2 linked regions of the Neodiprion lecontei genome follow. The protein of the gene in region 2 purifies or fractionates together with the protein of the main gene of each other region. This does not show direct contact. Links are inferred from orthologs where the notes say so. Each region holds a gene or a part of one and is shown on either strand. Other genes may lie near its edges.

Region 1 (7,657 bases), on a different chromosome or scaffold from region 2:
TTCTTGGGATTTTTAATACAGTTTTATCGCAGCCCGAAATCGAGGATGAAATAAAAATAACGATTTCAATGTTTTCAGCGATTTGTTTTTACTTCATTTAATAAAGAAAAATCATAGAATTACATACAAATTCGAATCTAAGAAATTGAAAACTGCTATTGCATCAGCTGTAAAGCGTCCATTGCTTCTACCAGCCGTTCCAATTCGCCTTTGCTACTGGTTAACTTTTCCGTGTTTGCTAATTGGACATCCGCAGGAACTTTAGTGGAATAATCAACTGCCGACATAGCCTGTTCCAGCTTATTTATACTCTCTGTAAGTATTCCTTTCTTTTTACCAAGTTTTTCAAATTCCTTTTTCGGATCAACCAATCCCTAAAATCACAAATTACAATGAATGTTATAGTTTTCAACATATGATTAACTTACGATATGGGTACAGTGATTTTCATATTATTTTTTTCACCTTAAGTAATAAGTGAACTTGGATCTTGTCTGTCACGGGGATGATAACGCATCCGGCTGGAGCATTGTCGAGATAAATTATTGAGTAAGCAAGTGTCCCAATCAACAAAGAGTACGTTTTGACTTTTTCTTTGATACTGTCTTCCGTAGATGTGACAAATGCGTCAGTTTTAGTCTTGTTCGGTAAATTATATGTAGCTCGTGCGGATCTTATGGATTTAATAATTTTCTGAGCAACGTCAACATCCGCTTCTATGCCTTGATCCCTCCAAGGACACTAATGGAACAGAAAAATATACTTTCAATATTGAATCACCGTCGCTGCATTGAACAAAAATTCTCAAAAAAAAAATATCGTCATTCACCTCACGTTCTTCTGGATACGGAGCCACGCAAATACTTGGATAAATTAATTTTTTACGTGGTAAACGTTGGTAAAGTTCCTCCGTTATGAAGGGCATGAATGGACTGAGTAAACGCAATCCTATGTCCAAGCTTTTGAACAACACTTTTTGAGCTGTTGACTTAGTCTCTTTATTTCCACCTTGGAAAACAGGCTTCAGATATTCCTGAAAAATGAAAGTAAGTGACGGTTATATACTGTTCCACTGTTTAGAGCAAGTGATTGAAAAAAATAAGAAATTGGTTGACATATGTTATTCAATTCTGACCAGATAAACGTCGCACAAATCGTACAGCCAGAGATTGTAACAGGCTGTAGTTGCAGCTGTAAGATCATACTGAGCTATTCCCTCGTCACAAACTTTCGCCGCATAACTCAACCTTGAAAGCATCCACAAGTCTACTTCTGTTTCATTTCCAGAGAGCTGTAAGATTTTCACTACAAGTTTATACACCTGTTTATTTTTTAATTTCAACAATAACAAAACACAATTTATAAGAACGAAAACCCAACATGCTGAAATGGTAATGTACACTGCTGAGAAAAATGACAAAATTGTACTTATTTTCAGTAGAAAATAATCTAGAATATTACAAAAAATAAATGTTACAATAATTTTTAGAACGAAACTCAAACTGCATCCCAAGCTGGAAATATTTTGAATACTAAACATACTACAAACAATAATTGAGTAAACGCTATTGTCACAGCGTACCTGATATCCCTTTTTACGACTACTGCTAACGTTACTTTTAGTCTGTTGATAAACTTCTCCGTCTTCTGGGTGAAAACTGGATCTTTCATGTGTACTATAGCTTTTGATGTGGTTAAACCATCGTAAAAGATGTGGTCTATGCGAAAAATCAATACGCAGGCACTTCAACGTTTCATGAACCTTAACATCAGCCTGGGAAGGCGTGTATCCATTTATGTACGAATAATCTGCCAAGAAGTTATTTAGCGCGTCTTGAACACAATTTTCGTTTAGTGTGTGCTGGTACCATTTATAATCGCCAACGACATCCTCCGCGCTCGAAATCGCGCAGCGTTTCTAACGTGACATTTGCAATAAAATTTTCAAATACAAATTTTCCGCATTGATGTTTAATTGCGTTTAAAAACGTTTCATTCTCTTTCCTCACCTCATCACTTTCAGCGTCGAATTCGAATCCATCTCCTAAGTACATCAGGGCGAACTTTGTCGCATTCCAAAGCTTATTGCAGAAAAATCTGTAACCCTGAACTCGCAAAATATCGAGATTGATGTCACGTCCTTGAGTTGTGTAAGCGCACAGCGCAAATCTCAATGCGTCTGTTCCGCATTCCGGAATTCCCTGAGGATAATCCTGCTTCTGTCCTTCTGTGGCTTTTTTAAGTTCTTTCGGATCCAAATTCGAATCCAACAATTGTTTGTGGAGATCCTGAAATAATATCTCAGTTTAATAAACATTGAAACGGTGCCAGGAAATTTTTCATACTCACCTCTAGAGATATTCCGTGTATCACGTCCATCGGGTCAATGACATTTCCCAAAGATTTACTCATTTTTCTTCCATGTGCGTCTCTCACCATAGCATGTAAGAAGACTTCCCTGTTATAAGTAAAGAAAAATAGTATTTCTGTGGTGTTACGAGTCAAATTTTTACTAGTTAAGTTCATAAAAAGGTAAAAATTGAGAAGCGAAATTTTCACAAATTATACGCAGGACTTACTTAAATGGTAATTTACCCAGGAGCTTTCGACCAAGGAAAACCATTCTTGCTACCCAAAAGAAGAGTATATCATGTCCTGTCTCCAACAAAGTTCCAGGATAGAAAGCTTTCAATTCCTCGGACTAAAACCAGATTTGCACGAGATAAGGCAATGTGATAAGTTTGAACTAAATGGCTATGTGTATTCACATACTTCTTCTGGCCAGCCAAAGATAGAGAATGGAAAGAGACCGGAAGAAAACCAAGTATCTAAGACATCAGGATCCTGTTCCAGCTTAATATTATCAATGCTGACATTGAACCGGTTTGCAGCTTTTTCTTTCGCCTCTGCCTCTGTTCTTCCGCTCACCCAATAATTGTTGTCATTTTCCTGAAATAGTTTGTGCCATTCGAAATGGACTTCTCATTGTATACGTGAGACAAATTCGATCTTATTATAACTTCAGAAATTACGTTAAAAATGATGACTTACAGTTCCAGCTGGAACAGCTGAGTCCAAAATGGATACAAAATATGCTGGGATTCGATGACCCCACCAAAGCTGACGAGAAATACACCAATCTCTGATACCCTCCAACCAATGATTCCAAGTTCTTTTATGCTGCTCTGGAATAATCTTTAACTCTCCATTTTCAACAACCTTGATAGCATCAGCAGCCATTTCATCACACTTGACGTACCTATAATTGCAAGATATAATTTCGTGTATCAAGCTTCTCTTAAAGAGTGAAGAAATGTCATCAAATGTAGACAGGATTTACCAACCACTGCGGTTTCATTAGTGGTTCAACGACGTCCTTGGATCGACTACAAATTGGTACAACCATTGCATTGTCTTTGGTCTCAATATATAATCCTCTTTCCGTCAATTGTTGCAGAATAGCCTTTCGCGCATCGAATCTTTTCATACCCTGAAATGATAGAAGCATGCACTAATCTCTCAACACTTCAACTATCATATAATTAATTTTAGTTTATTTGAATTGAGGATGATAAGTACCGTGAATTTGCCATAGTTTCCGATGATATTTCCCGCGTCATCAAAAATTGTTATAAATGGCAAGTCGTGCCTCTTTCCAACTTCATAATCATTAGGGTCATGCGCAGGTGTTATTTTCACAGCGCCTAATTAATGCAACGAGAATTAAGCCAAGATGTTCTCTTTCAAAGTAGCAAAGATGATAATTTACCTGTTCCAAATTCCATTTCCACAAAATCGTCAGTTATGATCGGTATCTTTCTATCGCAGAAAGGATGTTTCACGTATTTACCAATCAGGTGAGAATAACGAGCATCCTTGGGGTGTACTGCGACCGCAACATCTCCAAGCATTGTTTCAATACGAGTTGTAGCAACCACAACCTTTTCATTTGAGTCTTCTATTTCGTATGCAAATGATACGAGAACACCAAACTCAACTTTCTCTTTGTAGCCAGGAATAGCGAGAAAAGTTCTGCCAGGTAGCTCCATTTTGTCCACCTTGGAACGACAATGATCAGTTTATTTATTACCATTGAGATGTAATGAGACAGGAAATAGGAACAATTGTTACCTCAATATCGGAAATTGCACTTTTCAACGTACAAGACCAATTCACAAGACGATTACTCCTGTAAATATCCCCTGACTCATGCAGACGTACGAAAGCTTCGGTAACAGCGCGGCAGAGTTTTGGATCCATTGTGAAACAAGCGCGATCCCAATCAAAGGAGCTCCCGAGTTTACGAAGTTGCTCATAGATTCGATCTCCTTTTCTGCAGATTTGTAGAAAATTATAAAATTAACACCTAGATACATCGTACCAAAAACCAGGTCATGTTGCACTCACTCATTTTTCCACTCCCAAACTTTTTCCACAAATTTTTCCCTCCCGATGTCATGACGTGTCTTTTGTTCGTTCCTCCATAATTTCTTTTCAACTACCACTTGAGTCGCTATTCCAGCATGATCACAACCCGGATTCCAAAGTGTCGTTCGCCCCTTCATACGATTCCTGAAGTTCGAATGGTAAATCAACTATGTTACAAGGAGGAAGGAAAAATGATTTGAACAACTAAAAAATATATTATAATAGAAACTATCGACTTACCATCGGGTAATTACATCCTCGATCGCATTTGTCAGTGCATGTCCAAGATGTAAGGAACCAGTGACATTAGGTGGTGGAATAACCATGACAAATGTGCCTTTGGGATTTGTTTCGTTGATGCTTTTACGCTGGAAACGTGGTATACGATGAATGTGAATTGAATTCCTCTGCGTACGATGTCAGACACAACAAATTTATCACTGAAGGACTTTAACCAAACTTACTCCATATTCGGGTTTGAAGAAACCCTCGTTTCTCCACCAGGAATACCACGCTGCCTCGACAAAACGAGGGCTGTAGGCATCAGGCATCGGACAATTGACATCCTTCTTTTCCCCCTCTAGAGTGTTTATGGTATATAATACTGCTTGCTTGCTTTCCAGCTTTTTTTCAACCTTCTGCAAAACGTGTATACCTTAATGAATTTTTTTGTTTTCATGTAAAACCAAGGCGATCCAAGTATGTGAATGCGACAGGAAACCATATGGATTATGGAAACGTCATTGTTGCAGTTAACAATCAGGCAGAATTAAATAAAGTGAATGCGAAAATTACCTCAGGTTTTTCTTTGGGCTTAGTTGAAGCAGTGGTTTCTTTTTTATCTAGTTTTTGTTTGAACTTCTCCAATTTAGCCAACTTCTTAGCCTCTTTCTCAAGCTGTTTCGCTGTCTTTGGTTTCGCAGCCTCTCCCTCGGCTCCGTTTGCTGCCGTTTCAACCATTTTTATTGCAAATTATTCAAAACAAATAAATAATTCTCAGTTTACGGTATCGCGTGTTATTCGCTGCCTCGCTGAAAATCCCCGAAAATGTCAATATTGAAAACTTAACCAATTACTCCGCGTGGCCTGCACGCTGTCTAGCTGATGTGAGAACAGAAAGGATTGCAAAAGCTGCAGGCGCAATGTTATGTGATTCGCTGTTTCGACGGAATCCATTATCAAGCGAGTTTCAAAAATGGGACAATTATTTGATTCTTCGCTAGCTAGGCCGAGTCGCACTGTGTTGTGTAATGTAATTCTTTAGAAATGAGAGTTTATACAGTTCCGTCTGAATATAGAAAGAAGAAAATAATTATATCCATCAGTAGAGTAACAAGGTGCACTGAAAATAATGCATAGGTTTGAGGTTATTTCGAGAATAGCTTATAAGCTTGAAATATAATTTTTTCCAAATCCTTAAATAATTTTGCAGCGTCAAAGACAACTTAGATCGCACAAATTTATGAACCGAAGCTTTTTAATTTTGTACAGTACTTATCGGCCCGTCATTCAGACGAATCAATGTAAAGAACCTTTGAAATTCGCAACCAATTGTATGAACTGTACATTATGTGACCTGCCTGTATAATAGTGTTTTTCGATACTAGTGCGCGAAGGTGGCAATGCCCGCACAAGCATGAAGGCGCAGCACGAGCCTGGAGACGAGTTGAAGGGCGAGTGTGGCGCATTCACGCGAGATAGGCATTGCCAACTTTCGCACGTGTATCGAACTCTATTTTTTGCTACACCTGTAATGGAAAGTCCGACATACACGATTATTTTTACACGAAACCACGGCACGATGTCTGTTTAGTGACGATGCAGCGATGTCGAGCACGGCAAAGAGTGACAAACTATTCCATCGGTAGGGCTAGTGGAGCTGTTTGCGAAATACGCAACTGTGGATAAAAGCGCGACGGTCTTTTTCGCACACCGCTAGCAATGTGCGAAGGTTCATCTTATACCGCCGGCAATGTGCGAAGGTTTTTTTCTCACACCCCTAGTAATGCGCGAAAGTTTTTCCCGCACATGTGTATAAAAGACTACTTTCGGTGCTTGTAAATGGTGCATAAAAATGGACTTTCCACGCAGGTGTTGCAAAAAATTAATTGTAAGATTAGCAAGTGCATATGTGTTCCGTGCAATCGTTGCGGTATATCTCGAGATTCGGTATTCTGTTCAGTAAACTGTAGGTCCTCGAATGCAGTTTTCGGTTTAACTGGTGTACGTGTATTTGAATTGAAAGTTTAAAAGAAAGATTTTGGGAAAATATGAGGGATCTACGTTATGTGGAAGATCGTGCTCATTTGATTTTTCATGTTTTTTTCAATTTATTTTTTTTGAATTTGTGAAGAATCACGTCGTAGGACTTCGATTCTTATTTCTTTCCTAAAACTTATATTCAACTCAAAGATCACGATCCATAACACAACGATATATCAACCGGGAATCTTATTCTTCTAAATCAAAAGTTCATAATATTAAATTATAACTATTTTATGAGGTTTACAGATCCTGTACCTAGTGAAACTTGACTTCCAGGTCTAGAGGTCCTTGATCCGGTGAAATTTGACTTCCAGGACGACCGCTCCGTAGTTTCGGCTGTTCAAATCTTTTACCTAGTGAAACTTGACTTCCAGGACTAGCGCTATGTAGTTCCTGTGCTCCAGGTTCTTTACCTGCTGGATCTTGACTTTCATCACTCGCGCTCAGCTGTAGGATCACCTGGTAGATACAGTTTTCTATTGATACTGATTCAATTATGAAATCCTACATCGGCTAATTCCGTAAGGTTGTATCTGCCAAAAATTCGATAATACAATAACTCGCAGTATGTATGATACATGGTAAGTAATGTATAATAATTAATGTGTTCCTCAATAAGTCTTGTAACAATATTTTTGTAGTTGAAGCTTACGACGTTGGAGATTTTGAAAATATTACGTCCCTTCAGAAATCCTATTTTTTTAGAAAGGATAGAGAAAGTATGTTAGCGATGTATACATGTTGGTGTGTAGTACATAAATGAAATAGTAATTAGTAATCCTTGTACATACATGAGATATATAATTTATAATTAGTTCGTCTGTCCATTATAACTCATATTCATTCGAAATTGCCGGCGATGGTCTTACAATTAGTTGATATCCAAACAGCCGTGGAGCAGTACGTACGTATACGGCAAGATTGCGGGAACGTTTATTTAGCGAGTTTAATTTATTGTCTAAAA
Region 2 (5,964 bases):
TCCTTGAGCCCCGGGAATTCGCAGGCATGTATTGCGGTTCAACGAAGAGTAAAAGAAAGTACTGTTATTCTACAAAACAAATGCAAATCCGTAGTTCACGAAAAGCTGGATAAAATCTGTTAAAATGCGTTAGAACAGTCGAATAGCGTCGTTAATTTATGCTACAAAAATCAGACCAGACTAACGAGAACAGTATAAAACTGCACTATTAGTTCAGATAGATCAATCAAGATCTGGCCCTCAAATCTGGAGTAAACAGCCCGGGTCATGCGTGTCATCTCGATAACAATCGCGAAAGACTGCCAAGGAAAAACGGGGAACGACGATTGCGCCCCGGAAGACACTGGCCCCAAACGTCAGCCATGCAGGTGTAGATTGTATGCGCCCGAGGCCAGCGGTAGCGGATACGCACCTGAAGGTTTGAAGGAATCGAAGCCTCGAACCCAAAGCCGTGCCGAGATTAACGTCCAATTCAAAATTTTCCAGAATCGAATGTTGCAGCGAAAAGTGTCGATCAATTGGCCATTTGAGACCACTGTAAATTTCGTAAGGTAAAAACTCCAAATGGTGATAATTTTTAGAAAAATTTAGATCGCGGAAGGAGCGAGGGATCGATAGTCGGCCGTCGCTGGGTTCGAGGCTGCGTCGGTGAAGCCGTGTGCGCATGTCACTTTCCTACAACGATCTCTTTCTGTCGTGGCATCTGGAGGTGAGTGGTCGTACGTGCGTGCTCTCTGTTACCGTTCAGTAATCCGTCGAAATCACAAACAAAGTCCAGCCATCGAGGCTCGGATCAAGGCCAGAACTGAACCTTAAATTCCCGGCGACGTCGCCCTCGGTGTAGTTTAACGAAATATCGCCTACTTCGGTGAAAAAAATGTAACGATCCCGACCGGCTGCTGCTTAGCACCCTCGGCCGCATGCCGACTTCAAACTGTCCCTGTACTAGACACCCGGCGAATTCCGGTACTTCGGGAAATTCGAACCCGATTAAACGCACCCACTTCCTCATCCTTGAGCCCTAGACCTCTATTTCCGTGACATCCAGCCCTCATCGGCTTCTCTGCCTCGTTCATCGCTCCACGTAATGGCGGTGAGTTGTCACCGCAATTCGGGTTCCCTTAGGTCACTGTACAACCTTCTCACTTTCGCATCATTCGTTCATTTATTCAATCTTCCTTCCAGGTGAAGAGCTTCGAAATATACCACAATGCCCGTTTCCTTTCCGAACTCTCGTAACGAATCACTGCGTAGTCTGATACACCTAATCAAATATGTACATATGTTGCAACGTGACGCAATCGCGTATCGACGTATCCTCTCATAGTTTCCAACTATGTTCATCGAACTGCCGTTATATTGTTTGGAAGCAGGACTCGCCGCGTTGTTCCCGGGTCGGTATTTTGCTGCAATGCTTTCTTCCCTTTCTCTGTGATTCTCTGAAGAAATGTCCTCCATCTACAGTTCCAAAATGGCCGCGCGATCCCGTAAATCCCGCAGGGCACAAGCAGCAGTCGGTCTTTTTCCTTCTGAAATCTGGACGCATAACTTTCGGGGTGGCCACGTGGTATAAGTTCATGTTGAAGAGCGGATTTTTTAACGGCTTCTTTTGTTTGCACTGTGTTTCAGCTCTTTTGACGAACTCTTTAGCAACGAAACGACGCAAACATGGGAAAGGAAAAGGTTCACATCAATATCGTTGTCATCGGACACGTAGATTCCGGTAAATCGACCACCACTGGTCACCTTATCTACAAGTGCGGTGGTATCGACAAACGTACCATCGAAAAGTTTGAGAAGGAAGCTCAGGAGGTGAGGTTTCTACTCTGTTTTTTTTGGATTTGCTTTTTCTTGATATGTATACCGAAAATCTTTATACCTGATTCAATAGCTACACGTAACTTAAATTTTTAAATGGAGAGCTCTTTAAGCTTGTTTAATCATATCTCTCAACATATTTTTCCATAAATGAAAGCTTAAATCTACATCAAAACAATGAGCATGTATCTATTTCTGAACACTTTTGAACCCAATTAGTACAAAAGATTGTGATTTTTTTCTTTGGATAATTAATTTGCTTGATGATCGATATATTTCATAAATTATGTAAAATCTGCACTATTTGCCCCAGCAAAAAAAATTCTCGTTAGCAATCTAAGTTTGAATACCAATTGAAATATGTATTGATCAGCAATTCGATATTGTTATAATCTTATGATGTCACTGATAAAAACAATCTGGATTGGCACAGTGATGATAACCCTACAACTTCATTCGCGGTTTCCACCGGAGGACTTGAGAAAGTCCATTGATGGCTGAAGGCGTCTGAGTGTCAAATTAATACCATCTGGAAGTTGAATCAATGGCTGATGAGAGCACAAAATTAATATTCATATTATTTGCAGATGGGTAAAGGTTCCTTCAAATATGCATGGGTCTTGGACAAGCTGAAAGCCGAACGTGAACGTGGTATCACGATTGATATCGCCCTTTGGAAATTTGAAACTGCCAAGTACTATGTGACTATCATCGATGCTCCGGGACACAGAGATTTCATTAAGAACATGATCACTGGTACGTCTCAGGCCGACTGTGCAGTGTTGATTGTGGCTGCTGGTACGGGAGAATTCGAAGCTGGTATTTCCAAGAACGGTCAGACCCGTGAGCACGCACTACTTGCCTTCACCCTCGGCGTCAAGCAGCTCATCGTTGGTGTCAATAAAATGGACTCCACTGAGCCGCCATACTCGGAGGCTCGTTTCGAGGAAATTAAGAAGGAAGTTTCCTCCTATATCAAGAAGATTGGTTACACCCCAGCTGCTGTCGCTTTCGTTCCCATCTCAGGATGGCACGGAGACAACATGCTCGAGCCCTCGAGCAAGATGCCATGGTTCAAGGGATGGGCCGTCGAACGCAAGGAAGGCAAAGCTGATGGAAAGTGTCTCATTGAGGCACTCGATGCCATCCTCCCACCCAGCAGACCTACCGATAAGGCTCTGCGTCTTCCCCTGCAGGTAAATTTTGTCCATTCGCTTCATTCCGTCCATTCAAAATTGAAAAATAACTATTTTGATCAAGAAACTCTGGCAGAGAAATTTCAACCATTGTCAAAAGTTTTGTAAAAAGAAGGTCTTCCTAACTGTTCCTGGGTTTATATATTTACAGGACATCTACTGCTCCTTAAGTGTCCTTAAATTCTACAATTATTCTGGAAAACCAAAAAATGTCCCTGAAGTCCTAGAAAAGTTCTGAGATATTTTGACTTATCCTGGAAAAATTGACGTAATATATTTTTGAATGAAAACTGCGACATTTCATTTGTAATACGTAGCCTTCAATGCGTTAAATTTTAGTAGACCATGCAGTCGTTAAAAAGTCTATCAATCATTAAATTGGATCACATACTTACATTCGAAATTATTGAGATAAATTTTCCAACAATTAAAAAATCTTACAAAATAGAATAATTTAAACTCAAACATATTTTCTATGTTCCAACATGTTTATTATATTCTATTGATCGTCATTTTAATTCGTTTTTCAAAAGAATTGAAGGTGAAATTTCAATGTATATTTCGCTCCATTTTCCATTACTGAAGGTTAACTGATGCTTGTTGAATTTGTTTGCAGGACGTTTACAAGATTGGAGGTATTGGAACGGTGCCCGTAGGCCGTGTAGAAACTGGAGTTCTGAAGCCAGGTACCGTCGTAACCTTTGCTCCAGCAGGTCTCACGACTGAAGTAAAATCCGTCGAGATGCACCACGAGGCTTTGACTGAAGCCGTACCCGGCGACAACGTTGGTTTCAACGTAAAGAACGTTTCCGTCAAGGAACTTCGTCGTGGATACGTTGCCGGTGACTCTAAGAACAATCCGCCCAAGGGCGCCGCCGATTTCACCGCTCAGGTAACCGCAGATTCATTAAATTTCGATAAAAATTGTTATATGTTAATTCATGTACTTTTCGTTTGTGAATTATTCGACACTATGATGAGACGCTTTAATCTTCATTCGCGGTTTCCACCAGAAGACTTGTGGGTCTGTTGATGGCTGAAGCGTCTGAGTGTCTTGAAAATTACGCTCTTCTAATATTAACAGTGTCCTTGATTTTTATTAAATTGAAACCGTGTATAGTAGGTAATTAAATATTCATTAGTCATTCTGAAAAGTTACCGAAACTTTATTTTTCACCATAAGTACTAAGTTTCTCTTTGCTATCTGAAATTCAGCAGAGTTGTAATTCTTTTCATATTTGATTGATACAGTGGTCATTAAAGTTCGTTGGACTATTATCATCAAAATTCATGGAATAACTAGAAGCCGTTTTCTTAAATCATTACAACTGCAATTGAATTTTGTATTTCCGATTTTTCGTGGTTTCGATTATGTAAATTTACGAAAAATATCTTCAAGTTAGCAATTTATCGCAGTAAACTATATGAACAAAATTATTTTCATTGATAACTAATTCTTGCTTATTACGTATTGCAGGTAATCGTGTTGAACCACCCCGGTCAGATCAGCAACGGTTATACGCCAGTGTTGGACTGTCACACGGCACATATAGCGTGCAAGTTCGCCGAGATTAAGGAGAAATGCGACCGACGTACGGGTAAAACGACTGAGGAGAATCCAAAGGCGATAAAGTCGGGAGACGCGGCCATCGTGACTCTGGTGCCGAGCAAGCCGATGTGCGTCGAAGCCTTCCAAGAATTCCCGCCATTGGGGCGCTTCGCTGTGCGTGACATGCGTCAGACTGTCGCTGTCGGTGTTATCAAGGCAGTCAGCTTCAAGGATGCCACAGGCAAAGTCACCAAGGCCGCCGAGAAGGCACAGAAGAAGAAATAACTAGCTACTATAACGGATGACCACCGTGAGGTGGCGCCGCCGCTGCCTCCCTGTCCCGTGTCTCAATTAATTGATTATTATTATTATTATTGCGATAGTAATAAGTCGGCTACTGCCGCTGCTGCTTCTGCTACCCTCATGGTAGTTAACGTTGCTGAGATTATGATATCCATTATTATGATTATTATGACACGGAGGACTGACGTCGCGCCATGCTTATTATTCACGAAACGTTGTTTATTATTTCTTTTACTATCTAAATCCGAATGGCTGATACAGCAGCACTGTTGTTTCCACCGCAAGGAATTTCGCAGGAAAAAATATTACCTATTGTAATAATGTAATAATAACTTTTTAAAGATGGCAACCGAGCAACATGAATTACTATCAGCAAAAAACATAACAACAAGGTAACTAATTGAACAAACTACAAGTGCTGATTAAATTTGTGTTTCTTTTCTTTTTCTTTGTTTTTATTTTTATTTGTAACGAGAAACCATCTGGTTAATTGAATGATTGATTACATTGGTACGGTGAAAATTGAAAATAAAAAAAAAAGATTTTAATTTAATCAAGCAGCAACGACGACGACGATATATCTTCTACCACCACGTGAAATATTACAAACAACAATATCATTGAATTTTAATGACAAGAAAAACAAATATTGTCAAACTTCTCGAAATAGTTGATGAAAAAAAACCGTCTCATTGGCAACTTTATTATTCCGACTTGCATAACGTAATTATTTACTACCTATAATAACTATTATTATTATTATTAATAATACTATATAGCAACAGAAACTTCACCCCTCCTCCTGTTTTCACAACAAACAAAACTAGAAACGAAAAACTTATTAATTATTTAGCTCGGCTTAATTATATTTTCTATCTAATTATTTACGGAAATAAAATCTTATATCGTGCGATATTCGAGAAAATAATGTTATTATTTTGAATTTTTTTTTTTTTTTTAACTAAACTTTGTACGTTGTGTCGCAATTAATGATTTTATTTTTCTCAACGCGAGAATCACGATGCATAATTTTATTTATATTTAAATGTACTTATTCTTATTATTTTAGCCTAATTTTGCTAAGTGAGTATTTAATCA

The links. Proteins that work in one complex are often made in the same cells at the same time.
Region 1: the proteins of elongation factor 1-alpha (region 2) and valine--tRNA ligase purify together in Homo sapiens (affinity purification with mass spectrometry; 3 studies listed by BioGRID and IntAct, counting the BioPlex papers as one, with this or other methods). This does not show direct contact. The link is inferred for Neodiprion lecontei from reciprocal best matches to the Homo sapiens genes EEF1A1 and VARS1.

The regions. Positions count from the first base shown.
Region 1 is NC_060261.1:2,225,273-2,232,929, reverse strand, and holds valine--tRNA ligase, read right to left. Parts: upstream 6,028-7,657; 5' UTR 6,009-6,027; intron 5,759-6,008; exon of another isoform or gene 5,460-5,758; 5' UTR 5,389-5,459; coding exon 5,224-5,388; intron 5,067-5,223; coding exon 4,893-5,066; intron 4,797-4,892; coding exon 4,669-4,796; intron 4,573-4,668; coding exon 4,408-4,572; intron 4,334-4,407; coding exon 4,132-4,333; intron 4,059-4,131; coding exon 3,770-4,058; intron 3,705-3,769; coding exon 3,580-3,704; intron 3,491-3,579; coding exon 3,345-3,490; intron 3,260-3,344; coding exon 3,052-3,259; intron 2,950-3,051; coding exon 2,773-2,949; intron 2,702-2,772; coding exon 2,580-2,701; intron 2,459-2,579; coding exon 2,350-2,458; intron 2,289-2,349; coding exon 2,010-2,288; intron 1,919-2,009; coding exon 1,583-1,918; intron 1,292-1,582; coding exon 1,136-1,291; intron 1,034-1,135; coding exon 830-1,033; intron 742-829; coding exon 466-741; intron 375-465; coding exon 156-374; and 2 more. UniProt on the Homo sapiens protein: Catalyzes the attachment of valine to tRNA(Val).
Region 2 is NC_060264.1:21,332,488-21,338,451, reverse strand, and holds elongation factor 1-alpha, read left to right. Parts: upstream 1-1,629; 5' UTR 1,630-1,668; coding exon 1,669-1,812; intron 1,813-2,405; coding exon 2,406-3,014; intron 3,015-3,630; coding exon 3,631-3,906; intron 3,907-4,491; coding exon 4,492-4,848; 3' UTR 4,849-5,419; downstream 5,420-5,964. UniProt on the Homo sapiens protein: Translation elongation factor that catalyzes the GTP-dependent binding of aminoacyl-tRNA (aa-tRNA) to the A-site of ribosomes during the elongation phase of protein synthesis.